Mus musculus: one gene and its partners. The protein of the gene in region 6 interacts with the protein of the main gene of each other region in a biochemical or structural test. Links are inferred from orthologs where the notes say so. Each region holds a gene or a part of one and is shown on either strand. Other genes may lie near its edges. The genes, in order: Plk1, Bag5, Cd2bp2, Nudt16l1, Matk, Lrrk1 and Cwc15.

The links.
Region 1: the proteins of Lrrk1 (region 6) and Plk1 form a complex in vitro, tested with the Homo sapiens proteins (2 studies listed by BioGRID, with this or other methods). The link is inferred for Mus musculus from reciprocal best matches to the Homo sapiens genes LRRK1 and PLK1.
Region 2: the proteins of Lrrk1 (region 6) and Bag5 form a complex in vitro, tested with the Homo sapiens proteins (2 studies listed by BioGRID and IntAct, with this or other methods). The link is inferred for Mus musculus from reciprocal best matches to the Homo sapiens genes LRRK1 and BAG5.
Region 3: the proteins of Lrrk1 (region 6) and Cd2bp2 form a complex in vitro, tested with the Homo sapiens proteins (2 studies listed by BioGRID and IntAct, with this or other methods). The link is inferred for Mus musculus from reciprocal best matches to the Homo sapiens genes LRRK1 and CD2BP2.
Region 4: the proteins of Lrrk1 (region 6) and Nudt16l1 form a complex in vitro, tested with the Homo sapiens proteins (2 studies listed by BioGRID and IntAct, with this or other methods). The link is inferred for Mus musculus from reciprocal best matches to the Homo sapiens genes LRRK1 and NUDT16L1.
Region 5: the proteins of Lrrk1 (region 6) and Matk form a complex in vitro, tested with the Homo sapiens proteins (2 studies listed by BioGRID and IntAct, with this or other methods). The link is inferred for Mus musculus from reciprocal best matches to the Homo sapiens genes LRRK1 and MATK.
Region 7: the proteins of Lrrk1 (region 6) and Cwc15 form a complex in vitro, tested with the Homo sapiens proteins (2 studies listed by BioGRID and IntAct, with this or other methods). The link is inferred for Mus musculus from reciprocal best matches to the Homo sapiens genes LRRK1 and CWC15.

The regions. Positions count from the first base shown.
Region 1 is NC_000073.6:122,165,935-122,169,434, reverse strand, and holds part of Plk1 (serine/threonine-protein kinase PLK1), read right to left. Parts: intron 1,839-3,500; coding exon 1,683-1,838; intron 870-1,682; coding exon 792-869; intron 607-791; coding exon 452-606; intron 355-451; coding exon 172-354; intron 49-171; coding exon 1-48. UniProt on the Homo sapiens protein: Serine/threonine-protein kinase that performs several important functions throughout M phase of the cell cycle, including the regulation of centrosome maturation and spindle assembly, the removal of cohesins from chromosome arms, the inactivation of anaphase-promoting complex/cyclosome (APC/C) inhibitors, and the regulation of mitotic exit and cytokinesis.
Region 2 is NC_000078.6:111,710,457-111,714,544, forward strand, and holds the start of Bag5 (BAG family molecular chaperone regulator 5), read right to left. Parts: upstream 2,801-4,088; 5' UTR 2,588-2,800; exon of another isoform or gene 2,071-2,587; intron 957-2,070; 5' UTR 932-956; coding exon 1-931. Other genes in the region: Coa8 (cytochrome c oxidase assembly factor 8), read left to right, coding at 2,837-2,962. UniProt on the Homo sapiens protein: Co-chaperone for HSP/HSP70 proteins. It functions as a nucleotide-exchange factor promoting the release of ADP from HSP70, thereby activating HSP70-mediated protein refolding.
Region 3 is NC_000073.6:127,193,278-127,197,285, forward strand, and holds the start of Cd2bp2 (CD2 antigen cytoplasmic tail-binding protein 2), read right to left. Parts: upstream 2,801-4,008; 5' UTR 2,652-2,800; exon of another isoform or gene 2,185-2,651; 5' UTR 2,162-2,184; coding exon 2,084-2,161; intron 1,882-2,083; coding exon 1,746-1,881; intron 1,625-1,745; coding exon 1,467-1,624; intron 1,365-1,466; coding exon 926-1,364; intron 845-925; coding exon 738-844; intron 654-737; coding exon 543-653; 3' UTR 1-542. UniProt on the Homo sapiens protein: Involved in pre-mRNA splicing as component of the U5 snRNP complex that is involved in spliceosome assembly.
Region 4 is NC_000082.6:4,937,648-4,941,528, reverse strand, and holds Nudt16l1 (tudor-interacting repair regulator protein), read right to left. Parts: upstream 2,419-3,881; 5' UTR 2,389-2,418; coding exon 2,236-2,388; intron 2,159-2,235; exon of another isoform or gene 2,152-2,158; coding exon 1,891-2,151; coding exon of another isoform or gene 1,849-1,890; exon of another isoform or gene 1,816-1,848; intron 1,334-1,815; coding exon 1,112-1,333; 3' UTR 501-1,111; downstream 1-500. UniProt on the Homo sapiens protein: Key regulator of TP53BP1 required to stabilize TP53BP1 and regulate its recruitment to chromatin.
Region 5 is NC_000076.6:81,255,960-81,260,098, forward strand, and holds the start of Matk (megakaryocyte-associated tyrosine-protein kinase), read left to right. Parts: upstream 1-1,339; 5' UTR 1,340-1,615; intron 1,616-1,870; exon of another isoform or gene 1,871-2,011; intron 2,012-2,081; exon of another isoform or gene 2,082-2,276; coding exon of another isoform or gene 2,277-2,345; intron 2,346-2,520; coding exon of another isoform or gene 2,521-2,571; coding exon 2,572-2,580; intron 2,581-3,214; coding exon of another isoform or gene 3,215-3,217; coding exon 3,218-3,328; intron 3,329-3,423; coding exon 3,424-3,539; intron 3,540-3,627; coding exon 3,628-3,847; intron 3,848-4,129; coding exon 4,130-4,139.
Region 6 is NC_000073.6:66,287,342-66,290,841, reverse strand, and holds part of Lrrk1 (leucine-rich repeat serine/threonine-protein kinase 1), read left to right. Parts: coding exon 1-114; intron 115-1,108; coding exon 1,109-1,229; intron 1,230-1,598; coding exon 1,599-1,758; exon of another isoform or gene 1,759-3,125; coding exon 3,126-3,402; exon of another isoform or gene 3,403-3,500.
Region 7 is NC_000075.6:14,499,354-14,503,418, forward strand, and holds the start of Cwc15 (spliceosome-associated protein CWC15 homolog), read left to right. Parts: upstream 1-1,265; 5' UTR 1,266-1,428; intron 1,429-2,562; 5' UTR 2,563-2,570; coding exon 2,571-2,701; intron 2,702-3,460; coding exon 3,461-3,573; intron 3,574-4,065. UniProt on the Homo sapiens protein: Involved in pre-mRNA splicing as component of the spliceosome. Component of the PRP19-CDC5L complex that forms an integral part of the spliceosome and is required for activating pre-mRNA splicing.

The DNA of each region.
Region 1 (3,500 bases), about 56 Mb from region 6:
GTAGGTCACCGCTGCCATCAGGGGGCACAGGATAAGTTTGGTGTGGTCCTAGGAGGGAGCGAGTGAAGAGCTCAACAGGTGCCCAGGGGGAGGGCAAAGGGGAGGAAGGCGCCCCGCTGGTGAGGGAGACAGCACTGCCACCCCCAGGCACAGCGTCCTGCCCCAGCACACCTGGAAGAAGTTAATCTGCACGGTGCCGTTGCTGAGGTGCAGGATGATGGCGCTGCGTGTGCGGAACCACGTTCGTAGGTAGGGCAGCCGGGCCAGCTCGTCGCCTTCCCGGGGTGTGATGTTGGCCCCTGCCTTCAGCAGGTGCTCACTCATGTAATTGCGGAAATAGTTGAGGAGAGTGATCTAGTTTGAAAAGTTGGGGGAGGGATTCCAGAATGAGGGCCTGGCCCCGAGGCAGCCCCCTACCCTGCCACGCTCCCCCTCGACAGCCAGGACTCACCTTCTTCATCAAGGAATTGGGATGGGAGCTCACAGTGAGATAGGACTCCGTGCCATCACGCTCTATGTACTGCAGGCTGTCCCCGTCATTGTAGAGAATCAGGCGTGTTGAGTCATTAAAAAGCACCCCCACACTGTTGTCACACAGCTGATACCCTGGTGGTAAGTGGAGGGTTATCTCAGAAAGGCAGGAGGAGACAGGCAAAGGCCTTGGAAGAACTCAGTAGAACTCAGTAGTACAATGCTTGCCTACCATGCAGAAGACCTGAATTTTAATTCTTCCCACGCCCCGCCCCCCAGCTACACCATCCCCTGCCCATTCCACATTCTGGGACACCTACCAAGGCCATACTTGTCCGAATAGTCCACCCACTTGCTGACCCAGAAGATGGGGATGCAGGCAGGATCCTCAGCCTCCTCTGGGGTAGAAACAGAACACTGGTTATGGTTAGGTCAGCCCCGTCGCCTTTCCTTTCAAGCAGCCCTCCCCATGGCACCCCATGAAACCTGAGGAGGAGCCTGACAGTACAAACCTGACACCCAAATGGAAAACTGTAGCCCAGGATGCCAAGGCCCACTTCATCACGAGTGAGCCCCTGTACTCTAGGCCTACTGTAGCCATGAGCTGTGGGAGGTGCGGACAGGGAAAGAGACCCACAGGCTTCAGAAGAGCCCGGGTTCCAACCACAGGGATGAAGAAGAAGCACAGGCTACAGGCCCCTCCATCATTCGCCCTGGGGGTGGTAGAAGGCCTAGTATCCCAGACTAAAGTGACGAGAGACAGTTGGCTGACAACCCCTGCCTGCGATGCTAGAACAGCTAGAAAACTGTACACAAGTCCCTGATGCAAAAACACAAATGTGCTGGGAAGAAATGCTATAGAGAATTAATTAAGTCAGGTTTAGAAGTGATGGCAGCGGGTGTCAGGGCAGGGACACTGGGTACAAAAGCCCTAAAGCTGGAGCTGATCTGAGTCTCTGGAGGAATTAATTCCCTGAGCAATATGTGCAGTGATGCAGAGATGGCCTACCAGCCACCTACAGGACAAGATGGTGCAGAAGTAGGCAGAAGAAACACCAAGGGGGGCCGTGGGTGTCAGGCTAACTCACCTGGATTTTGATCTATAAGAAACGGGCAAAGCAAAGGTCACGTGGGTCTGGGCCCTCACCAGTGCTCTGCTGACTGAGCAGCCCTGCCTTCCCCAGGCGCGCAGACCTCTCTGTAGCACTCACCTTGCCGCACCAGCCCGCGCTCCGAGGGCTTGGAGGCGTTGACACTGGTCAGCTGCTGTAGCAAGTCACTAAGGTGGCACTCAATGGCCTCATTTGTCTCCCGGACCACCGGTTCCTCTTTCTCCCGGGGACGGTCAGGCAGGGGGTTCTCCACACCTGAGAAGAAAACTCGGTCACTGGACAGACACAAAACTAGGGGAAGGAGCACAGGACTTTGGCGACAACTACAACTTTTTCACTATCAGCGATGTGGGGACACAGTCAGCACCAGTTTGAGTGGCAGGCATTGTTATACTGAGAGGTCTCTAACCCAACAGCCTAGCTTCCCAGGACAGCAGCTGCTGCTGTCACTCAGGGAGGCCATCGGAAGGCACCAATGACTCAAAACTGCACCAACTCAAGAGTGAAGGGCACTGTGAGCACCCAGGAAGTTGGAAAGACGGGTGGATTCCTTTAAATAAAGCCCCAGAAGCCTTTCACTGTAACCCTCTGCTTTTGTGCGCTTACAAACCGCCCAGGTCTGATGACATGCACACTAAAGCTTTGAGTTGGCTACGGTGGCCAGGGGGGAGCTTTACACTCGACTGGCTTGTTTCCCCAGACCAGCATGTGCTAGTTCTCCTGTGAGACAGCACAATTTTTTTTCTTAAAATTTCAATTAAAAAAAAATAAACCACCATGCTACATTAAGAACTTAAGTGTGAAATAAAATATTCAGGATCTGATTTTTGTTTGTTTGTTTTTTTGTTTTCCGAGACAGGATTTCTCTGTGTAGTCCTGGCTGTCCTGGAACTCACTTTGTAGACCAGGCTGGCCTCGAACTCAGAAATCTGCCTGCCTCTGCCTCCCAAGTGTTGGGATTAAAGGCGTGCGCCACCACCGCCTGGCTCAGGATCTGATTTTAAAACTAGCCAAAAAGGGGCTGGAGGACGGCTCAGCAGCTAAGAGCACTTGCTGGTCTTGCCAAAGACCTGGGTTTGGTTCCCAGAACCCACGTGGTGGCTCATAATCATGTCTAACTCCAGTTCCAGGGGATCCAAAAACATCTTCTGGCCTCTGTGGTTATCACACATGTACCTGGTGCACATACATACATACATGCATGACACCCATACACAGTTAAAAAATAAAACCTAGCAAAAATGAGTGTTTATAGACTAGAGTATGTAAAAAGCAAGCCTGTCTAAATTTAGCTATTGGAAATGAAGGAGAAATGAATGCCCCAGGGACAGATAATGCAGGTGGTTCCCTGCCTTTGGGTGAGTGTGGAGGCTGTCTACAGAACAGTTTCTTTACTATACTTATAAGACAGCGGCATTCTAACCTCCACCGCCGAGGAAGTTAGGAATCCCCAGGTCCAGCACTGCGGGGAAGGACAGGGAGCTACCCTCCGTACATACACGTCCAACATGACTTAGATTCCCCACTGCTCATGAACTAGGCATGGTAGCCCATCCCTGACTGTTAGCCTAGCACTCAGGATATAGAGGCAGAAGGAGCACAGGTTCAAAGTTGTCCTTGGCTACTGTGAGACCCAAGCAGTTCGGGCCACATGAGACATGGTCTCAAAAAGGGAAACAAAATTGAAATTACAGTAATAATTGCTACCACGAAGACTGGTGGTCCCTACAGTTTCAAACAACTTCCTGCAAGCTATTTATTAACTACCAAGGAAACAATGTCTGTGGGAGAGACACGGTCTCCCTGACACACTGAGAAGGGCAAAGCCCTCCACAGCATTCTTGCTCAGAATGCAGAACCTCACTGCACTCCCGAGGAAGCATCAAATCCAATAGGATATCAACTCATCAGCACCCT
Region 2 (4,088 bases), on a different chromosome or scaffold from region 6:
GCAGCTCTGTCTTGGCCCTCAGGTACAACTCAGGAGGGCTCTGCGCCTGGAGAAGTTCATTTTTTATCTCTCTCATCCTCTTGAGAACATTTTCTATTTTTATAATGGAATGGTTCTGTCCCAGGTCAAATGCATGTGTACTGTCAGCTTCCTCTTCTAAGTCTAGGTATTTCAGTAATTTGTTGATATCTTCCACCACCTCCCTCCGATAATTTCTGATCTCTGTACGCCCACACACATCTAGAGCATCTAAGTCAGCAATCAGTCCTGACAGCACGCAGGATAAGTGCCTGCAAGTCTCGGAACTGTCCACGCCCATCAGAAGTGCGATCAGCGTCCCTCTGGCCTTGTTCACCTCGCACATGACAGAGTTGATTTTGGCCACTGAAGGATGCACATCCTCAGACAGTGGCAGGGACGGCTGCTTCTTCATACAGTCCTCAATAACCTCCTGTACCGCGCAGATCTTGGTGAGCGTGCGGTACCTGGCTTTCCGCAAGGAGACCTTCCCTCCGGTCTTCACGTGCGTCAGCCTCAGAATGATGTCCTGGATGCCTTCCTCAAACTCGTCAGTCACACAGTTGCCTCCGCTGTAAAAGGGCACAATCTTGTCTTTCACAAGGGCCTGAGCCTCCTTAAAGATATTCTGGATTTCGATGCGGTGTGGGTGGTTGGCATTCTGCTCCAACTCCTTGAGGAGACGTTCTGTCTCCTGTGCCGCCCGCTTCCTAGCTTGCTGGATATCTCCTTTTCCTTCCGTATCCACAGAGTCAATTTCAAAAAGTTGTTTGGTCAGAATCCTCTCCAGCCTCTTGTAGTTCTTGTCATCCGACAGGCCGCTGAAGCCGACCACTTGCGGCTCTATAGCCTTTACTTCCCGCTGGATCTCCTGAAGCCTACTAATGGAGGGGTGTTGGTTTCCCATATCCATACTTCTGTGTTCAGTTTCACAAGCACTGAAAGATAGCAAGAATGATAACGTATTAGTCTCTGCAGGACAAGAACCCACTCTAAACACTCCTTCTTAGTACACTTGTTAAAAGGGCTCATTCGGGCTGTGGAGATAATTTTTCATCAAGTGTCCAAGCTGGAATTCCAGAACACATGTGGAAAAAAAAAAGCTGGGGCGGAGCTGGAGAGAGGGCTCAGTGGTTAAAGGTGCTGGCTAGAGGACCTGGGTTTGATTACCAGCACTCACATGACAGTGCATGACCACACAGGTAACCCCAGTCCCAGGGCATCTGATTCCCTTTCTGTCTTCAGAGGCACCAGGCACACAGTGATGCACAGACATCCATGCAGGCGAAGCGCCAACGCCCATGAAGTAAAACAGAAAAGCCAGGCAAGCCAGTGCCGGGGAGACGGCGATAGATGGATCTCGTGATTCACTGGCCAGCCCAGGTTAGCCTAACCGAGGACCTTCAGGACCATGGGAAGCCCCACTTCAAAAGCCAAAGTCAAAGGACACCAAGGAAATGATGGTGGGCGGGCAGGGAGGCCAAACTCTGGCACCTGGGCATGCACCAAAATACACAAAAGGTTTCGTCAAAGGTGTAAAAGGTTGCTTGAGGAAAGGGAAGATGTGACATGTCAACTCCCTCTCCTGAAAACAGCTGGACAGGAACAAAACAAAGCAAGCTCACCGGTGTGCTGGTGTATCCCTACAATCCTAGCGTCGGGGATACAGAGGAAAGGGAACTACGAATTCAAGATCACCATGGGCTACTTGGTGACCCTAAGAATTCAAAGCAAAACGGAAATAGGGGAACACGGTAGGGATTTGAACGACAGACAGAAGGTCCTCATGATCCAGCCTGGGTGGATGTCTAGGCCTATGAATTCTGTCTTAAACCATGAGAGCGAGCTGCGTACACTGCCATTCTAGTCAACCCACCAGGTTAGCAACACAATTTCCTTAGATCCCCCCCCCCCCCATCCTAATCTACTCTCTGGAACCAGTTTGGAAGTTAACAGTAGCTCTTCCACACTCACAGGAGCACCATTCGTCCAGACAGCTAGCTAACTTTCTACTTTTCTGAAAGAGGAGCTACGAAACTTCCAAATCCTCACCCTGACTTCAAATACCCGCCGCCCAAACCTGCCGACTGCGATTAACTCGGTCACTCGCCTCCCGGTATGTGCGCTTAGAGCATTTCCCACGCTCTCAGGTTTCTGTCAAACAGCTCACTTCTGGCGGGCAGGCCACAGAACTCAGTCCCCGGGAGGGTCCAAGCCCGGCCCTCGCAGAGCTTTTACCCCGGGAGGTCTGGGCGGCGGCGGTCTTGGCTGCCGCGGGGGGCTGCGAGGTGGGAGATCGGCCCTTCACGGGGAGCGGCACCGCAGCGGTGCCCCCAGCGGCATCCCCCCTCGCCCTTCCCGGCTAGGTCTGACCCGGGCAGCCGGTGAAGGGGCCGGCGGAGGCGGCGGCAGCTACTGGCCGCGGCGGCCGCTCCCGGGTCTCGGCCCGGCCGGACGCGCCGCCGCCTGACCTCACAATGGGCGCGCGGCGGGCGCGGGCCTGCGCAGCGAGGGCGGCGGAGCGCCCGAGGCCGGGAGAACGGAGCTCGCGCCCTCGCCCCACGCTCACCTGGGCCGCACGCGCCATCGCGCCCCGCCACCTACACTTCCGCAGCGTTGTCGCCGTCCTCGCAGAGCGGGCCCGTCAGCAGTGAGCCCGGGGAAAACTTGTCCTCTCCTCGTCCCGCGCGGGCCCCGCCGCCCGGCGTCCGTCCCAGGGAATGCGCACGGTCGGCCTCGCCGCGCGTCGGCTCGGGCTTTGCGACGCCGCCGTAACGCCAACCTTTCCACTGTCGCGATCCTGCCGTACGCGCGGGCCATGGCGGCTTTGCGGCCCGGAAGCAGAGCGCTTCGCCGGCTTCTCTGCCGGTCCTTCTCCGGCGGCGGCGGCGTTAGGTTGGCCCGTGAGCGCCCTACGGATCACAGGGATGCGGCGTCCAGCCGGGTAAGCGGGACGCCGGGGGCGCTGGCAGGGAGGAAGGCCGCCGAGCAAACCCACGCCGCCTGCACCTCTCCGACGGACTGATGATCACTGCCCGGGATCCGCTGTGGAGAGCGCGAGCCTTGCTTATCCCCGAGTTAATTCCCATTTGTATTAACACAGCTCTTGAAGGGTGTTCTTTCTCATTTTCGCATCGTTAAGATTAGTGTTCGACTTAAAGCCGTGGCTGACTTCATCATCCCACTTCTGTAGACTTCGCATTGTTTGTAAACGTGCACGCGATGTCAGAGATCCACAGTGCAGGTCTGCAGCAAGAATGGGCGTGAAGCCTTTTTCAAAAAAACAATTGCTGGGCTGGAGAGATGGTTCAGCTGTTAGGAACACCGAAGACAGTAACAATGCACTCACATATATAAAACTAAATAAAGCTTTTTTTTTTTAGTCAGTTGCACTTCTTTTTTTTTTTTTTTTAAGATTTATTTATTTATTATATGTAAGTACACTGTAGCTGCCTTCAGACACTCCAGAAAAGGGAGTTCACATCTCGTTACGGATGGCTGTGAACTACCATGTGGTTGCTGGGATTTGAACTCTGGACCTTCCAAAGAGCAGTCAGGTGCCCTTACCCACTGAGCCATCTCACCAGCCCTCAGTTGCACTTCTTTGCAACAGAATGCTTTGCTTAAGGAAGGCCTAGGTTGCCAGGCGTGGTGGCCCACGCCTTAATCCCAGCACTCGGGAGGCAGAGGCAGGCAGATTTCTGAGTTTGAGGCTAGCCTGGTCTACAGAGTGAGTTCCAGGACAGGGCTACACAGAGAAACCCTGTCTCGGGAAAAAAAAAAAAAGGCCTAGGTTTAGAGTCTATCAGTCATATGAAAACGCTAAGGCTGGAGGTAAAACATTAATCAGTGGCTACTAACACTTCAATGACCACTAAGCTAGTGATAGAGACTAGAGAGCTTGGTTTAAGCAATAATGAAGAGAGGGAAGGAGGGATGAGGAGAGAGAAGAGAGATGGAGAAAATTAAGAATTGCAAAATGTGCTTGCTGTGAAAATTTTCATCTCTGCTATGCTGTGTCTCCTTGCACACTTTTAGCTTTGAAGTTCTGACTACTCCAGTTTAGATTT
Region 3 (4,008 bases), about 61 Mb from region 6:
GGGGCGAGGGGTAGAAAAATCAGACTATGGAAGAAGAGAATGCATGTTTAAGAGAATCTCTCAATAGGATTTCAAGGTCTTCCCAATGTCCCAGCTACAAGGGAGCTGCCAGGACAGAGCATTTGAGGTCCTAAAAGTCAAAGATCAGCAGAACAGGGACTTGCAAGGGAGACTGGAGAAAAGAGTGATGGAGGGAATTTTACACAGCAAGTAGAAGTTGTCTACGTAGGAAAGTCACAGGACATCTGATGGGCCCTACCTCTGCCTCCAAGGGTGGGAAAAAAAACTGAGGTGGTCCAAGACACCAGAGAGAAGCAAGTGAGGAAGTCTCTCGGGAAGAAACGCTCAGGGACCTACCAGGTGAAGCCAAAAGGAGCTATGGAGAAGCCCTGGCTCTTGGCCATCGCACAGTCAAGGCTTTTATTGGGAAACAATGGCTTTAAAGTGGCCTCCAATATCCTCACTGCCCAGAGCAGCTGGGGCTTCCTCTGCCAAGTTCAAGAAAGAAGGGGCTGCCGTGCCGCATGGGGCCCTTAGCGGGCTCACGTGTACAGCTCAAAATCAATGCGCTTGGAGTTGTAGAACTGGCCGCCCGGAGGGTCCAGCTTCCGACAATAAACACCATCCGGGAAGTAACCTTCACTCACCCACGTCTGTAAGAACAGAGGACAGAACTCAGGCAAGCTGACAGAAGGTGGGCTGGACAGATGGGACAGACGCGGCAGGGGGCAGCTCACCTGCATCTGGGCACTGGTGAAGGGTCCATACAGCTCGGCGTCCCCCGTGTTCTCCCATTTATACTCCCACATCACATCCATCAGGCCATCTCCTGCTGACTCTGCCTCTAACACAATGAACGATACTTGGGCCTCAAGCACTCAGTCTCCAGCCCACACTGCCCCCCACCCGTGCCCTCCAAACTTACCCTCTCTTTGGGTAGGGGTTGGGGTTTCCAGTTCACCCTCTGCTACTTCCTCAGCAAACATGTCCAGGGAGGGTGGAGGTGTGGGGTCATGGGATCCCTGGGCCCGACACCCCAAACCCTTCAGTCGCATAGCCAACCGTTCCCTTGTTTCCTGGTACACACCAAGGTTGCCTCGTGCCACCATTTGGTCAGCTAACCCAGACAGCCGGTCTAGCCGCTGGGGGGAATTGGGCCGTCCAGTCCCCTTGCTGTTGCTCCCTTTGCCTCCTCCTCGGGCCCCCAGCCGCCTAAGGGCCCCAGCCACTGTCTCTCTTGGCAACAACAACTCCAAAAGTCCCTCCAGGAGTGCTTGGGCGCTCATTGGAGTCTGACCCAGGCTGTCTTCCTCCTCCGAGTCTGAAACCTGGTGCTTATCAGGGGGCCGTTCCTTGATCCTCACCTACAAGGAAAAGATAATTAGAATTTCTTACAAACTTCCACCAGGGCCCAGGCCCTGCACCTGCACTCCCAGGCCTCAGCCAGAATAGTCCCTGGGCCACACCCAGTCAATGTTGTCCAGCCAGCTGTCTCGGATCTGCGCATCCTGGTTCAGGAAGTAGTTGCCATCAGCATCAAAGTGGCCTTCCTCCATCTCTTCCTGCAGGTTGAAGGGTGTGATCCTCACACCGCCCTCACTAGGGAGAGTAGCTGCTTCCTGACCTGCACCGAAGACATTGGGGGTGGGGCATGCTAGACACGCAAAAGGGAAGCAGGCACACCTCCCACCTCCATCCTGAAGGCTTGTCCCCCCAACTCAGTTAACGCTTCGGACATAGCTCACCTTCTACATCCTCTGAGGCCAGGATATCATATTTGCTGGACCCTTCCTCATCATCATCCTCTTCATCACTGTCTAAAGAGTGCTTGCCTTTGAAGCGGCTCCCAGGACCACCTGCTGCAGCCACAGGGTCCACCAGCTGTGAGGAGGCCGAAGCAAATGAGAAATGCAGCCAACTGGGTAGTTCCCCAGATACTCCAGGATCTGTACACAAATCTTTCCAAACCCAGTGCGCCGGGGAAAACTAACACTTCCTTGGCTTCCCGGCTTTCCTCCCATCAGATTTCTCCTTCTTCTTTCCTCTCAGTCCTCCACGGAAATTCGAAATCTGGCCATCTCACCTTCTTTTTGGGCACACTGATTTCATCTTCACCATCCTCATCTCCAACACCCTGAAAAGTCACTTTCCTCTTTGGCATGATTGGCTGTGGATTTCCTCCAGCTGGACCTCGGAAAAAGATATGTAGTGAGGAAGTGAGGTAAGGAGAGAGGACCGCGGGGGAGTGCAGGGGCCACCAACATTTTTCCTGGTAAATGTGAGCGAGGACAGATCGCTAAAGCATCTGAGAGAACTAGCAGGCACGACGTCCGGGGTTGGTTGGGCAATTCTGAGGCCCGGAGGAGAGGCGATGGGAAGGATCTCCGCCCCCGCGTGGACCCTGCGGGTATTCCCACCCGGGGATGGGGAGTCAGGTTCCCCTACGTCACCACTCCCCTACCAGTCCGGAGCTACCGAACTCAACCACCTCTCCCACCCGAGTGCTCACAGAGGCCGGTCGGACCCAAGAGCTGGAGCTGCCTAGATCCCCGAATACCACGTAGCGACCTGCTCGGCCATGTCCTTGGCGTACAAACTAAAGGCGAAGCAAACCCGCGGGGATTCAAACAATCTTACCCGCCGGTGCTCACCTAGGAACCCAGGGTCAGGCGGGGAAGAAAAGGAAAGATGCTTTCGCCGGTATTACATCCGGGGCACCCGCCTTCATCACCCGGAAAAAAACCGTGGAGACCGGCATAGGACCCGGAAGTGGCTTCACTTCTATTCAAAAAGGGCGGATGCATACCATTAGCCAAGGCCGACTCGCGGCAGGAAGTGACGCAAGACCTGCAAAGACTCGCGTGAACTACGTCCTTGCCTCACGGGACTTGAGGATGGCGGGAAATGTTTTATTATTCCTCTACGATGGAGGCTACAGTGAGGATAAGGACGTGGTGTGCTAAGAGGTTCCCAAGGCCTGGATGGAGAGGCACAGGCCGAACAGAGGCTTCGGGCTTCCGTTTGCATGTATGGATAGGGTTCTGTACGCCTAGTGGCCTTCAGTAGACACCCGGGCTTCCGATCTTAACGCAGTCCCAACACTCGGGAAATTGAAACAGGATTGATTGTCGCGAGATTGACGACAGTCTGGGATACAACATGAGACCGTCTATTTTTAAAGAAAGTCTTGCTCTTCTCTCTGAGTCCTGCTTCTGATTATAAGCGCTCGGGCACCTTCCAAACCAAGCCCTTTTAGAACCCAGGAGTCATTTGCACCATGTCTATTCTCCCACTTAATTCCTAGTTTCTGTAGCGGGACAACCATCACAGGAGGTGCCACTGGCTTCCGTCCGTGGCCTGTAACCAGGCAGAAGCCCATCAGTTACACGAAGCCTACCTCATCCCTTAGCAAACTGCCAAAGGGCTGGGATCCAGCTCCTGCAAAGCTGGGGCCAGGTGAGATCTTCCCCAATAGTGAGGTTTAGATCTGGAGCTCTGGGGAACAACTCAAACCTCAACGCCTCCACCCCCGTCCCCACCCTCGGCTAAATAGCTCCGGTGATCCTACTAGAGTTGGAAGAGGGCAGCCAGATGGACCACGCCTTTCTCCTCCAGGGTTTTCTCCCATTGTGAATCATGAAACTTCACTTCTGTGGGTACAGAACACAAGTTCTAGACCAGGAGGGCATCTTGCTACAGACAGGACCCTGAAGAAAGCAGCTCTCAGCACTGCTGGTTCATCCGGAGGGGGTTTTCTCTACCTGGAGACCACACACCCTGATCCCCTTTCTGCTGAGAAGTGCCAAGTGGAGCTTTACGGCCACAGAAGCCCACACCTTTATCATCCTGACCCGGAGTAGAGGGTGTGTGGCAAAGATCTAGCCACAGAAAACAAGAGCTGCGCAGTTTGGTTGTGTGTACCTGCTGGGATGAACCCCAGGCAGTTAGTCTACCCTAGACGCCCAGGGAACTGCACCAAGCTGCTGACCAAGAACCCAGCCCAATCTA
Region 4 (3,881 bases), on a different chromosome or scaffold from region 6:
TGCACATGCAGGTGCCATACTGAGGTCTGATCTTACAGACAAGGTCTGGGGTGCCTAGAAAATGTACTCTTTGAAAATAAAAATTAGATGCAAGTTGGTGGGGGCTCATTTGTGATCACTTGACATGTATTCCTGCCTGACACCAGAAGACCCTAGTAACCCATGTGTGGTTACTTCTGCTCTGTATCCTTAGCTGTGGGGGTCACTCTTGCTCCAGGGTTTCTCCCCTGCTCTTGGATTGTTGCTAAGCCCTAAAGTGGAGCTGGCACACAGCCTTCCCAGTGTTTCTGCACCAGGCTATAGGACTGCCAGCAGTGGTGGTCCTGTCCCATGGTGGCACTTCTGTTGTCCTTCTGCACACTAGGCCTGTGCTTTCAGCTCCACCATCACCACAAGAGCTCAATTCAAGCTGCCACTGAGATTGGTTGCCCTCAGAGGCTGGCTGTGGTCTGGGGCCCAACCTCCACACACCTCAGAAAGATGTGGCCATGGCACTCAGAAGCAACATGAGCATCAGAGGAATGGCTTTATTATTGTCTTCTTCCTTCCTCAGCTTCACAGAGGCCCCCATGGGGAAAACAAAATCATGTGGGGCACAGCCATTCTGAAACCAAACCACAGTTCATACACCAAGAACAAAATCTAACAGAGAAATCCAACAAGCACCCAAATAAACATCTTGCCCCACGCTGGGTCAGGCTCTGGGCTAAGGGAAAGAAGGGTTGGTCTAACGTGGGTCATCTCTGTTGGGCAAAACCCATGACCAGTCCAGGATCTGTGTTCCAACCAAGTGGTTGCCTTCGAAGAATGGGCTCTAGCTGGGACTCCACTAGTCATGAACAGACTCGCACAGGACAGTTTGAGCCCTGGGATGGGTGAGAGCATCTTCAGCTTGAAAAGTTAGGCCCAGGCCCACCCCCACTGACCAACCTGAGAGTGTAGCTAGGTCCCAGGGACTGCTTGGGACAGTAATGATGAACAGCTGCCTGCATGTCCCTTGCAGTCAGAAGGGATGCAAAAGCAAACACACTAGAAGGCACGCGTCTCGGGAATTCCAGGGCCTGTGGGCAGAGACAGCCAAGGGAGGGCAGGGACCTGCACAAGAAGCACCTCAGGATGAGGGCGGGAGCAGCTTTTCTAGAGCCTTCTTCTGCTTCTCTGTTGCTGAGGCCAAGGCCTCGGCCAGCTTTTCCGAGGGCATCATGTTGAGTACCTTAAGGGCAAATAGAAGTTGATATTTGGCAGTGCTGACGAAGGCGTTGCTCAGAAAGTTAGGAAAGCCGCCTACTCGATCCTTCTGTGTGTACAGTGGGACCCGTACAAGGCCCAGGACCTGTGGGACAGAGGGCATGAGTGGGGCTGGGCTCTTCTTGTAGAGGCAGGACCCTGGCAGAGATGCCTGTCAGCCACCAGTTTGCCAAAGAAACAGGGGAGACCCAGGCAGGGTCTGGCCAGGCCAGGCTGGTGGCAGTAAAGTGCCTTCTCTCCAAGTTCCAAGGTCAATCCTATGCACTCCCCACCCTGTCTGGCAGCAACCCCCATGATCCCTGGTTTCACTCCATGCCCCTTAGACCACAGAATCTACAAATCCCCCAATTTCCTCTCAGGAGATAATCCCAAACACTGCATGCAACCCGGTCTTTTTGGTCTCAATTTCCCAAGCAGGCCCTGTTCATCCCTTCCAGTGACCCCAAGCCCCACTCCCAGGATTGACAATGGCAGACAAGGCAAATGAAAACAGCCCATGATCCAGATCCCAAGTCCCTTTTCCCACCCAGCATAGCCAGGGTGAGGACCCTGAGGGGTACTTGTTACCCAAGGTGCCTTCTGTGGTGCCAGAGCCAAACCTCAGGAGTGGGAATGGGGGCGGGCCCCAGGCAGTAGCCCCACCTCCAGACCGTGGTCCCGTGAGTGCACAGCGCTGATCTCCACAGCATGCAGTTGTTCCAATGTCAGCTGCCGTGCGTACAGATGTGCCACCACACGGTGTGGACCCTCAGTCAGGTGTGAACTCAGGTAATCAGCTTCGGTAAGGCGTAGGCCGCCCAGGCCCAGGCCCAGCACCCGATTCAAGCCATCCTCCAGCGACCAGAAGCGCCGGTCCACGAAACCCCCGGGAAAGCCTAGCAGCCCGTCGAAGCGCATCTGCATCTGCAAGGTAAGCTTGGTCAGGACGTGGGGTCCACTGGGCGTCCCAAGCCTGTATCCGCCCTGCTTGCCCGCCCAGCTCCTCACCAGCACTGAGAAACGCATGGGGATACGTCCGAAAAGCTGCCCGGGGTTGGCGGCGTATAGCATGGCGTGGCATGAATGACTCCAGCCGGGCCCCAAGCGCATTGCTTCCTCCCGACTGATCTGTTTCAGCTCCGGAACCGTCGTGGTCGACATCTTGATGTGCTCCAGGCCCACTGCCCAAACGAGCATGCGCGACCCCGCCCACAACACCAGACCCAATCCTCGTGCTTCCACGTGCATAAAGCCCGCCTCCACCAGTCCTGTGCTTCTGGGGTTGAACCCAGGAAAGACCCTGGCGGAGGCGGGGTGGGGTGGGGGTGGAGTTATGTAGTTCGCCACCCTCCAAGTTGCAGAGGAGACCCCACAACCACCAGAAAACTACAGCTACCAAGACGCACCGCACGGAGACCAGGTTGTCCTAAGCAGGTAGGTACACTGATTATCAAGACGTGTCAGTCTCCAGTCCCGAACATCCCTGAGAGGGCATCTGAAGTCTCAATATCCACCTCATCCATGAGGGGGCTGGTTTTCCCCTGAGCTTCACCCAGAGCTTGTGGCTCCACTGCCTATGAAATCATGCCTTAAAAAACTTAAATGTCTAAGTGACTCCAGCTCAAGTGACAGGGGACCTAAGCCTTACTTATGCTTTGCCCCTCTCTGGCACATTGATTAATGTTCAGTAAACATCACAGGAGTTGGGATGGGTATAAGAACTAGGACCACCTGCCCACCTAGAGGCTAAGATTCATCAATTGCCCAGTGGAGGTGAGCCAAATTCCAAGTCCAGTTTCAGACACAGCAAGCAACAAAATAGCAATAAACCATTGTCTATGTTTGGAGGGGGCACTCACTGCCCCTCTCACACAAGCAAATGAAGGCAGCAACAAAACCTGTCAGGAGTTCTGCCAGAAACCACTCTAGTGTCCTGTCACTACACCAAAAGCCAACAATGCTGCTGCCTACATAGTGCTGTGCCAGAACAAAGGCACACATAGAATATTGCTGCATGATTTTATTACTATAAATATACAGTAAAAATGAACCCAAACTAGCCAATCAGAGTACATCAGATGATAGTACATGTGAGTCTGAGACAGGTAAGTGTGTAGGCTGCACCCCATCTTTCAAAGTACTGGCACCAGTGCCACGGCCAGAGGCCAGGATGTTGGCAGGTGAGAAGTGGGGGAGTGAGCATGCACATGCTGACATGTGTGCACATATGTGCATTCAGCAAGAGAGAGAGATGGATGTGCAGAGCTGTGCTAGGAAGGAGCAGGGTTAGAGTCAGAGCTCGAGCAGCCCTGAGCCTAAAGGGGTCTCCATGCACTGCTACAGGCTGTCACCTGGGTGAGTGGCAGGGCAGTTCCTTAAGCTGAGGTCCCTCTACCAACCCACCAGGGAGCTGCACTGCCTGGGGCACCTCTGCTCTGGGGCCACTCATGGGCCACTTCTGCCTTGGAAACAAAGTATCACTAGGAGCCTGCTTCTAGGTGGGCTCTGACAGGAGCCTTAGACAATCAATCAGTAAGAAGCTTACAGGCCAGGTAACTGGCAACGGATCTGCTATGGAAGCTGCTCAGGCTCCTCCCTGGCAGGTGGTGGGCAGTGCTGCCCTGCAAGCACAAACCGCCACCTTGGCAGCGGGT
Region 5 (4,139 bases), on a different chromosome or scaffold from region 6:
AGATGAGCTACTATACCTGAATTTTTGCATAGTTTAAGGTTTTGAACTCAGATCCCTCGTGTGTGCAGCAAATGATTTCCCTACTAAAACAACTCTCTGGCTCACTACCATCATTATAGCTTGACAATAACACTTCTCTTAAAAGATCTGTCTTGGGCTGGAGAGATGGCTCAGCAGGTAAGAGCACTGACTGCTCTTCAGAAGGTCCTGAGTTCAAATCCCAGCAACCACATGGTGGCTCACAGCCATCCGTAATGAGATTGGATGCACTCTTCTGATGTGTCTGAAGACAGCTACAGTGTACTTACATATAATAAATAAATCTTTTAAAAAAAAACTGTCTTGAAAAAAACAAAAACAAAAACAAGGAAATGTCCTCTGTACCCTGATCTTCTCATGCTCCTGCCTCAGCTTCTCCCAAGGCTTGGATTGCAGGCTATGTCCTTCAACCCCAAGGGCCAGTGCCGTTTCAACACATATACTTCTCAGGTAGCCCAGGCTGGCCTTAAATTGACTACGTAGCTGAGGATAACCTTAACTCCTGATCCTTCTGCTTCTGCCTCTCCAGTGCTGAGGTGACAGGCCTGTGACACCACAGTGTGTCACCCATTGAGCCCCAGTCCCCACTTTTGGATCTTTGCTAACTGTAGGTACTAGAATAAACATCTGTACAAAGTCCACTGGTAAGACAATTGGAGGAGGTCTCGCTAGGCCCGTGCCAGAGCGAGTCAGAAAGCAGTTGGTTACTGCAGAGCACTTGGACCACTACTGCACCCGTGGGGCATCTGCCGGCAGTGTGGGTGGTGGCTGATGGTGACAGGAGGGAGGGAGCCTGTGACTCAGACACTGTCATCAGCAATAGGGTCCGAGAAAAGTGGAACTTTGGGCTGCCTTGGTTCCAAGTCTCTGGGCCTCCCTGGCCAAGGACTCCTCAGTGGGTACCTGCATCTGCCTGGGGACTTGTGATTAAGGACTGTGGCTTCTGGCCGTGTCATGTCCATCAGGGTGCTTCTAGGCACCTCTGCCCAAACGTGCTTAATTACTTAATTGGGTTTTATTTGCTTTTTTTTTTTTTTTTTTTTTTTTTTTTTTTTTTTTGAGGCAAGTTCTTACTCTGTAGCTCTCTATTTTAGCCCAGGCAGGGTTCCAACTCACAGAGATCCTCCTGCTTCTGCCTCCGGAGGGCTGGGAGGATGTTTGAGTGCTCCACAGCTGGCATGTCTGAAAGTACAGGCAGACCAGGCAGGGCCGCAGCTTGCCTTGGTCTCCTTCCCGGACAGGGAGCTCCTTCCTACTCCTAGCACCTGCGCGCGTGCCCGAGCCATTCCGCGCTCCCAGCTTTCCCAGGGTGGGCGAAGGAAGGCTAGGATTCAGCGGGGACCCGAGAGCACCCGGCACTTGGTACTCAGCACTCTGCCCGGACGGAGTGGGAGGCGCAGCGGGAGGAGGTGGCAGCGCGGTCTTAGTGAGACCGGCGCTAGGACCCGCGGGGGCTCCGAGCCGGGTCCCCTCCATCCTTGCCCCAAAATGAGGAAGCCTTGCAAGTTGCTCCGAGTTGAGCCACTGGGTGCTCGACCCGCTGGCAGGGACCCTCCGAGGGTCGCGCCCTAAGCAGGTGAGCGTGTGTGCGTGGGTGGAGGGGGACACCACTCTCGAAACGGTCCTGGACCCGGGGGCGTCGGGTGCAACGGGCTGGTTTTTGTTTTATTTTGGTTTTTTTCTGGGTGCGGCGTGCAAGTCTCTGAGTGCGCGAGTCCCGGTGGTCACTGCAGGGCCCTTGTGCACCACAGGCACCAGCACAGGTGTACGCGTCTCACTGGCGCCCTTGTCGCACACACGGGGGTGGCTGGTGGCACCTGTGCCCAGATGCACGTGCGCCTCCGCCTGCGTGGCTGCCGTGCAAACCCCACTGAGTCTGAGGCCAGGAGCGCACCCCAACCTCCCGCCCTGCCCCCCTGCCAGCCACCAGCCGGGGATCCGGGCAGCCCTGCAGTGCCTGCGCTGGGATGGGGTGGGTCCCCTCAAGATGCTTCTTTGGTGACCCGTTGCGACCCGAGGAGCCAGGAGCTATACGGGAGCCTGGCCTCCTCAGGTTCCGCTTAGGGTCAGATTCCCAGGAATGACCTTGAGTCACGGCCCCTGCCCACAGCCTCCTCTGCCCACGCCCAGGAAAGAGGAAGCCACAGGCCCAGTTCTTTCTCACACACAGCCCTGGCTGCCACCTGGGCCAGATCACTCCATTCCTGACTCTGGGCCTCAGTTTCCCTTCCCGAGCAATGGCAAGGCGAAGCTCCCGGGTCTCCTGGCTGGCCTTTGAAGGCTGGGAATCTAGGGACCTGCCTCGGGTAATGATCACTGTCCCTAAAGCCAAGGGCTGCAGAGGGGCTCCACACCTAAGCCATCCAAGGGATGATTTGAGGGAGGCGCTTTGCTTCCTGGATGCTGCTGCCACCAGGCCAGACCCTGAGGAAAGAGCTGGACCTGGGGACACTCCCAGCATGACACTGCCTTCCTTCACAGGTGAGCCCTAGATTGTTCGGAGCTTGGCACCCCGCGCCTGCTGCAGCTAGGATGCCAACGGTGAGTGTGGGGCCCTGAGTCACCAAACCTTTTCAACTGTCCCCTTTTGGGGGGGAACATGCCCCTCCCCACTTGAGCAAGCACCCACACCTGACAGTCCCCAAGGACCCCTCTCCCCCCACCCGCCAAAATGGCTTCACGTGACTATAATTCTGCCTCTCTCTATAACTCTGTTTCCCTCCCCCCTTCCTTTCTGTATTAGACATTATCCCCAGGCCTCTATTCTTTATTTTAATTTATTCTTGAGACAGGGTCTCAATGTGTAGGTATGCCTGGCTTGGGACCTGAGAGTCTCCAGGCTAGCCTCAAACTCAGAGATCCACTTTCCTCTGCTACCCCCACCCCTGCCCTGAGTTCTGGGATTACAAGTGTTGGCCAGCACTCCTGGCATCATCATCTTTTAATTTTTGAGACAAAGTCTCACTGTAGCCCAGGATGGGCCTTTGGCTGGTTTGGAGTCCTCCTGGCTCAGCTTTCTGAGAGCTAGGCTACAGGCCTGTGTCTTCACTATTCCCTTGTCCGGTCTTCTATCCTCACCAGCCCCAGCTTTCTCTCAGGTCTCTCTGTCCCTCCCAATTCCCACTTGTCCCTGTGTTCAGTCCCTGACATACCTCTGCCTCTGTCTCCTTCCCAGCAGCGCTGGGCCCCTGGGACTCAATGCATGACCAAGTGTGAGAACTCTCGCCCCAAGCCCGGTGAGCTAGCCTTTCGAAAGGGTGACATGGTGACCATCTTGGAGGCCTGTGAGGTGAGAGGGGAGCTGGAGGGTAGGTGGTGTGCCTTGGGGGTGCCAGGGCCGACACCCACCAGCTCCTTCCCCACATCTGTTCCCTTCCTGTACAGGACAAGAGCTGGTACCGAGCCAAGCACCATGGCAGTGGGCAGGAAGGGCTGCTGGCGGCCGCTGCTCTGCGACAGCGGGAGGCCCTCTCCACAGACCCCAAGCTCAGCCTCATGCCGTGAGTGGCACCCTGGGGGGTGGTGTGAGAGGCTCAGCCCCCTCTACCCCTGCCTTACACAGCCCCCTCTCCACACACATCCCTACAGATGGTTTCATGGCAAGATCTCCGGCCAGGAAGCCATACAGCAGCTGCAGCCACCCGAGGACGGGCTGTTCCTTGTGAGGGAATCAGCTCGTCACCCTGGAGACTATGTCTTGTGTGTCAGTTTCGGCCGTGACGTCATCCACTACCGTGTTTTGCATCGAGATGGGCACCTCACCATCGATGAGGCCGTGTGTTTCTGTAACCTGATGGACATGGTGGAGGTGACGTGTGGGGCAAGGCTGGGGAAGGAGGGATGGAAATATGGATGGTGGCCCCAGGAACTGTCACTTCTTTCTCTAGAACTGGGGTCACCTCCCCAGGGAGCTCTATGTTCACACCAACCACCCCTCAGTTTCCATTCTACAACCCCCACTGTTGCCATGGAAACCCGATCACCTTAGCCTGGCACTTAGAGGAGGAGTCTGGCAACCTCACTGAAACTTGGGGTGGGATGGTGGGAGCGGTCCTGCAGGGCAGAGGCTCATGGCCGGCGGCCTCCACAGCACTACACCA
Region 6 (3,500 bases):
TAAGTTCCGAGTGGAGAGGATAGCAACCCTGCGTGCCTACGTGCTGGCCCTCTGCCGCTCGCCATCGGGCTCCAGGGCTACGGGCTTCCCGGACATCACTTTCAAACACTTGCAGTGAGTATTGCCTACTTCTCTCGCTCGCTAAGATCCCATCCTGCCTGGAATCTGTCATGGGGATGAGCCAGGCTCCTCTGGAGAGAGGATGGCACCCTAAGCAAGGGATAACCCATTAGATGATTAGAGAGACAGGGTTTCCAGACTCCAGAACTGTCCTTCTTTCCTTCCTGGGCCCTCTCCTCCCATAAGGGCCAGTGCCAAGAGCACACAGCTCCCACGGAACAGAGACACGTGAACCTGAGCACCATCCACAGTACTTTCAGATCACTGATCACGGACCAGCATCCCAGTCCTTGCATTGGATCTGCTCACGAGAACTGAGAGCAACTGCTGAGTCTGAAAGCAGCGGCAGACTGTGAAGCAGGGTGGGCTGGTGCTAAGGAGACTAGCCACCCCGGGTGTGTCACTCAATTAACCTCTTGTCAGTAGCCACCACATCGCTAGGGCTGTGATGCTCAGGCCGTGAATCTGAGGCTCAGTAACAGACGTGAGAATCCCTGAGCGTGTGTTGCTGCAGCTACTCTAGGATTCCCTCACTCTGGGTGTGACGGCATGAGTGCTGTGCACAGGTCAGGATGGCCTGTCAGTCAGAATACAGCACCAGGATTTGGAGGGACTCCTGGTATTGCCCCCAAGAAAGACTTGGAAGGGTCTTTAATAACAGGACTGCTGGCTGGTTCATAGTCACAGCCCCAATATGTATGTCTCTTTCTAAGCTGGCACCCTTGGGAGGCCCAGTACCTCTGGGCCTTCCTCTTCCCCTGTGAACTCAGCCTATTGGGAAGACAGACCAAAGCAGCATGTTGTAGGACATCCAACATGGGGCTGTGCACAGAGAAAGGCCTCCAAAGCCTTCCTTCCTAGTCTCTCTTTCAATGACTTCTCGAGGTTTGTGGCTATTTGGGACAAATCTCCAGGGAAACAGGGATGCTATGTGCCCCCGAAGCAAAGAGGTGGTCTGTTGATTAAGCCCCAGTGTTTGCACATACAGTGAGATCTCCTGCAAGAATCTGGAAGGGCAGGAGGGGCTGCGGCAACTGATCTTCCACGTCACGTGCAACATGAAGGATGTGGGTAGCACTATCGGCTGTCAAAAACTCGCCGGCAGGCTGGTGAGTGTCCCCGCATCCCATCAGGTCAGAGGTTCCTCCTTTCCACTGTTGGGGTCCACACTTCCGTCCCCCTTTTGCTATAAGGCACATGGGTGTGTTTAAAGGTCAGTAGTGCCAGGTGGGGGCAGGGAAGGATCCTTGGCCATCACAATAGTCCTGGCATCACTAGATCTGCCGTTACCCTGTGTGTGTGTCCCCAACAGAGGTAGAGCAAAGCCATGCTCAGAGATGTGTCTGCAGTTCTAATGCTGTAAAGGCACATCCTCTGGTCCTAGGACCATATAGTGAGGACGATGGTGGGGAGTGTTGGTGCAGGCAGCACGCACCCCTGGCACCTGATAGGCCCATCTTTGCCCCACCCGCACCCAGATCCCCAGGAGCTACATAAGCCTACAGGAGGCCGTGCTGGCTGAGCAACAGCGCCGCAGTCTGGGTGACCAAGTACAGTATCTGACGGACAGGCAGCTGGACCAGCTGGTAGAGCAGACGCCTGGCAATGATATCAAAGACTATGAAGACCTGCAGTCTGGTAGGCCAGGAGTGGGTACCCAGGCATTGGTATGGGGGACCGGAAGGCTGGCGGAGGGTGGGGTGAGACATCTGTGAGGGTCCTGTTCATCACATCTCCACCTGGACCCTCAGCACAGCAGGCTAGCAGGTTTACGTGACAGCACTCAACACTGCCTGGAGTCTGCCTGCCCATGTGCTGCCTCCCTCCACTTTTCCTTGCTACCCCACCCCTACCATCCCTCCACCTGCCCCTTTTTCCTTGGACAGAGAACATGGCAGCTGTTCTGCAGAGGATGCACGACAGGCAAAAGTCAAACTGGTCACCACCCTCCAGGACTTTGGTCCAGGCTAAACAATTACAACCAGTTCTTATTGTTCATGGTAGTTAGCATCTAAAATGTCGCTATGGCTACTGCGTTGGCAGATACAGACCATTGCTCCTGGAGGAAGATAAGGTTAGGTTCTTGTCTGCTTCTAGTCACACTGGCATCAATGAAGCAGTCAATAACCTTGTTTCACATATGCCTCTGTTCTGGTTTCCTTTCATTTGGTGTGATAAAATATGCTGACCACAGCAACTTAGAGGAGGAGAGGGTTGACTTGGCTTACAATTCCAGGTTCCAGTCCATCACTATGAGTAAGTCAAAGCAGAAATCCTGGAAGTTCATCACATCACATCACATCCACAGTCAAGAGGAAAGGGAAACAAATGGACTCCTGCTGGCTGATTGCTCAGTTCCTTGCTAGCCTTCTTCTTTTTTATACTACTTAGGATTCCCTGTCTAGGGAATGGTGCCACCCACAATGGGCTATATCAATTAATAAGGTAGTCTCCCACAGATACGCCCACAGGCCAAACTGATCTAGCTCATTCCTCAATTGCAATTCTTCTACGTGATTCTTGATTGTATCAAGTTAACAATATACACATACACCTTATCTAATTATGTAACAGGTATTGCTGAAATATTAGGTCATGCAGTGGCCTTTATATAATTTCTGCCTCAACACTGTTTATCTAATGACATATTTTCTCTGTAAATCACAGTCTTGTACGTAGAAACACTAGACAACCTTTTAGCCCTGTTTTGGAGGGTCATTTTAGACAGCAAAATTACCTCCCAGATAACATGGCAATCAATAGACCATAGAAGGGACACTCACGGGATAAGAGCTCGGTTAGGAACATGTACATGGGACCACTCACACTTTGCATGCAGCTCAGCAAGTACCTACACAGAACTGTGGAAGCGCCTCACGGGTTGCTTTAGGAGGATCATGAGTAAATGTCATCATGGGCCTGGCATGCCAGAAGTCTTGGTTTCTTCCTGAGTCCCCTTTGGTCCCATGTGGTTCTGACACAGCTTCCTCCCTCCCTCTTGGCAGCCATCAGCTTCCTCATAGAAACTGGGACCCTGCTGCACTTTCCAGACACGAGCCATGGCCTAAGGAACCTCTACTTCCTGGATCCCATCTGGCTCTCTGAATGCCTGCAGAGGATCTTTAACATCAAGGGCTCGCGGTCAGTGGCAAAGAATGGGGTGATCCAAGCGGAAGACCTCAGGATGCTGCTGGTGGGGACAGGCTTCACACAGCAGACTGAGGAGCAATACTTCCAGTTCCTTGCCAAGTTCGAGATTGCCCTCCCTGTTGCCAATGACAGGTAAGCCCACAGCCCGGAGTCTTCTGAAGGAAGGAAGGAATGGGGTCTTAGGATAATGGTGGCCTCACTAAGATTTCCAGGGCTACCACCACCCAGGA
Region 7 (4,065 bases), on a different chromosome or scaffold from region 6:
GGCAGGAGGCAGACTGTGTAAGTAAAAGCAAGAGGCTGTTTTATCCTAAGTGTCAAAACCACTACCTGGTAATCTGAAAAAATCACTCTGTTTGTGCAAAACTAGGAAAGTCCCTATGAAAGCAATTACAAATCAAGAGGAAATGACAGTGGCCTGAAGGAGTGTGGTGACAAGCAAAGGAACTTCAGGGTAATTTTCACAATACTGGACAAGAGTGGCAGGTGAACAGGATGTGACGAGGGAAGGAAGAGGGTCTCCATCTTTGGGTTTGAGTCACTAATGTGAAAGCGGTGTCCTTTGTGTGAGGCTCAGGGCAAAAATATGAAGCTTTCACCTTCTACTTGGGGAGCGGGCACATTCGGGAGGGAGTGGGTTCTTTTCTAATTCTCTTTCTTCATTTAAAAGTTCCAAAGGAAGGACAGAAAAGAACGGAAATGTTCAATTTTAGGAGACCCTTCCACTTGAGATAAACTGGAGAACAGAATCCTCTTTACCGAGCATCGGCCGTCCCCAAGATCTCAATGATGGGGCACAAGACAACGTTGGCGAAGCCATCTTAATCCCATCTCGTGCTCCTCCTGGCAGTTAGGCCCACTGCTCCATAAATTGTCACTATCGTAAACGCTCACAAGCATCTCCCCTCACGCTACAACGCTTAATGCATATAGCTATATATCTATATATTTATATATCTTAACAAGCAATGCGACTATAACCCTTGCCTTCAAGGCTAGTGGTTTCGCAGGAATGGTACCTTTGGAAAGCTCGTGGCTGCCCCCGTACTTATTTGCGCCTTCTTCATATCCACTTAAGTGACAACTCTAGTCCCTAGGCTGCGGGGTCTACTGAGGAGCAGGAGCCGTTGGGTCGGTCAGTTGGCAAGCTCTCCTCACATCTCTCTTGCGAGACGCGGACCGGCTCCTGGCGCCTCCGTCCTCGCAGAACCGCAGCGAACGAGTCTGGGAGGGGGTCGGGAAAGGAAAAGACGCAAGAGAGATTAAGTAATTGGTTCGCAAAGGAAAAAAGATGATATTTGGGGTCGACTATGAAGCACCGGTTTCAAACGCCCGCCCCCTAAGCTGCCTTGGCTCCGCCCCTAGGCAACGTCATTCCATCTTTTTCCCGTGTCTTTGCTGATTGGTCACTGCGTCAGCCTGTGAGAGACGGTTTAAAAAAAAAAAAAAAAAAAACACACACACAACTCCGGAATTGCTTCCGGGTGTGGAGTTCGCATCTTCTCCACAGCCATTGGAAGTGCGAAGGTTTTGCTTCCGGGTCTCAACCGAGCCCCTGGTGTAAAAACTGGAAGCTCTGCATTTTGTTTCCGGTCTTGGGCCTGGCGCCCCCGGCGCCGAGATTTCTGGGAGCTAAGGGTCGCATTGGTTCATGAGTGAGTTTCGGAAGGTGCTGCGTAGGACCCCCGCCAGAGTGAGCAGCCGGGCATGGTGGTTTGTGGTTCTTGTGTGGGTGGCACCGGGGAGCCGAGTCGCCGCCGCAGCCCGTGACGATCGTACAGGCCGCGGTGCAGGGATGGTGGTCCGGAGCTGAAGCCGAGCCCGGGGCGGTCACCGGTGCAGCGCCTCAGACACTGAGAAAAGCAAAGGAGGGTGGGATGGGGAGAAACTCCCACTTCACACACGATCTGTGTGAGCAGCTGCTTAAGCTAACGGAGATTTAGTAGCCCTGCAGTTAGGCTGCAATTCTTATTTGACAGCTAAAAATGGCAAAGGTTCTCTTGTAGCCTAGGCTAGCTTCGAACTCCCGATTCTTTTGCTTTCACCTCCCAAGCTCTGGAATCACAGGAGTACCCCCATCATACCCAGTTCAGGATGGGTTCTTGATACTTGGTTGGGTGGAGTTCCGATTTTCTGAGCATCGCGGAAGTTACAGCCTTGATAAATGTTGTGGTAACTGCTTTAGAAGAAAATTGAGTCAACAAGATTCTGGGGTAATGGTTGCCCATGTAAATGTCACTGGGGACTTTAAACAAATTTTAACATAATAAGTTTGACTGTGACTTTAAAAGAAATTTGTTTTTTATTGGGTTCTTTGCTGTAGTGTGAGGTTTCTGGTAGAACAGCAAATCTTGGCCGGACAGTTACATTGTGAGATCCTATAATTAAAAAAAAAAAAAAAAAAGAATAAATTTTTTTTAAAAAAGAATAAAATAAAATCTCAGAGAAGCTAGTGCTAGTGGGATAACATTTTTTTAAGTCATTTATTTTAAAAGCTACACTACACTGTTGTGCAAGATCTGACATCATGTATGGGAATCTCATAATACTATAGAAATGTCGGCATTCCACAAATGACAGAAACGAGCTAGAAGACTTGCCCAGGGCTACCCAGCCAGAACAGAAGCACTAACTCAGATCTTCATAGTAGTTATTTATACTGAATAAGAGTTGCCTAGTAAACACCCTGAGTTTCATAATTCGGATTTTTAGGAACTTGTGTTGAAGCAAACTAAGCAATTTTGGGGAGTTTGAGAAGGATTTAAGAATAGATATTTTTGAGTTATCTGTAAAATGAAAGTATAACTTAAATTCACTTTTGCCGAAGACTAAAAGATGACAACAGCAGCCAGGCCAACTTTTGAACCTGCAAGAGGTGGGAGAGGAAAAGGAGAAGGGGATTTGAGCCAGCTCTCCAAGCAGTATTCAAGCAGAGATCTTCCCTCTCATACAAAGATAAAGTACAGGTAAGAAGGCCTTCATTTGTCTTGTTCACAGAATGGGACCAAGCCTCTCTCTATATATATGTATGTATATATATGACTTATGGTCATGTCTAAATTATAGTATTTAGGTTACTGATCTCCAAAGAGAAGTATTTCAAAAAAGTTTACAATAAAATTACGCCCTACAGGTAAAGTTGCTAGACAGTCTTCCAGCATAAGTTCCTTTGAACCAGGAATTGCTATGTGTAGATGAAGCACTCATTAGTCATGATAATCACATCAGAGAAGACGGAGCTGTAGTGAATATGGAAGTGTTGCTCTAACAGCCCTTGAATTGGTGGACTGTTTTAAAAAGCCGAAGACATGGGTTAGAGAGATTTCTCAGCAGTTAAGAGCACTGCTCTTCCAGAGGTCCAGAGTTCAATTCCTAGCAACCAGATGGTGGCTCACAACCATCGGAGGGGTCTGATGTCCTCTTCTGGTGTGTCTAAAGAGAGCAATGGTGTAGTCATATACATAAAATAAATAAATCTTTTTTTTTAAAAGCCAAAGACATTCTGTTGTAGGCAATTGTGTGCTTTAGTTTGTTGTTCTAGTGATAAGGAACACTACGAGTGTATTAACCCTCAGATTGGGATATTGTCTTATCTTCTTCCTTTTTGTTGTTGACAGACAGTTACATTCTGGATTGTCTTAAATTGTTGAAGCTATATAGGTTCTTTTCCTTGACAAGTGAGGCCAACATTTTTGACGTGTTTTGTTTTGTTTTTCCTACTTAAGACAAACCACACAGGATGCCCCTGAAGAGGTTCGAAACCGTGACTTCAGGAGAGAACTGGAAGAGAGAGAGAGAGCTGCTGCAAGGGACAAAAACAGGGACCGCCCAACTCGAGGTACCCGTACTGTCCGTCATGTCTGTCTCAGTTGTGTGCAGAAACTGTGTGTATCCTGGTAATTGGAAATAAGTAGCATTTTTGTGAGCTGTATCTCTTTGATGAATGATTAGAGATGAGAATGAGGTTTGTTCCAGTCCCATGCATTGATACTATCATGCATTGATACTAGGCCTTCTGTCTGGGACACCGAATGTAATTGAAGAGTTTTGAGAGAAGCATCAGTTATCCTTTTTGTGTTTCTACTACATGTGAGCATTGGGTAGGTCTCCTAAGATGCTGTGATCTGCATTCTCACTAATTCATTTCGTGTAAACCAACAAATATTTATCAAAGACTTACTTGCCAGTCACAGGGTGGATCCCGGGTGTCACTATGCTTTGTGTGGATTCTTTTTGCCCAAAGGTTTCTAAAATGGTTTTAAAAATTTAGTACTTGGGCTGGAGAGATGACTCAGTGGTTAAGAGCACCACCTCTTCCAGAGGTTCTGAG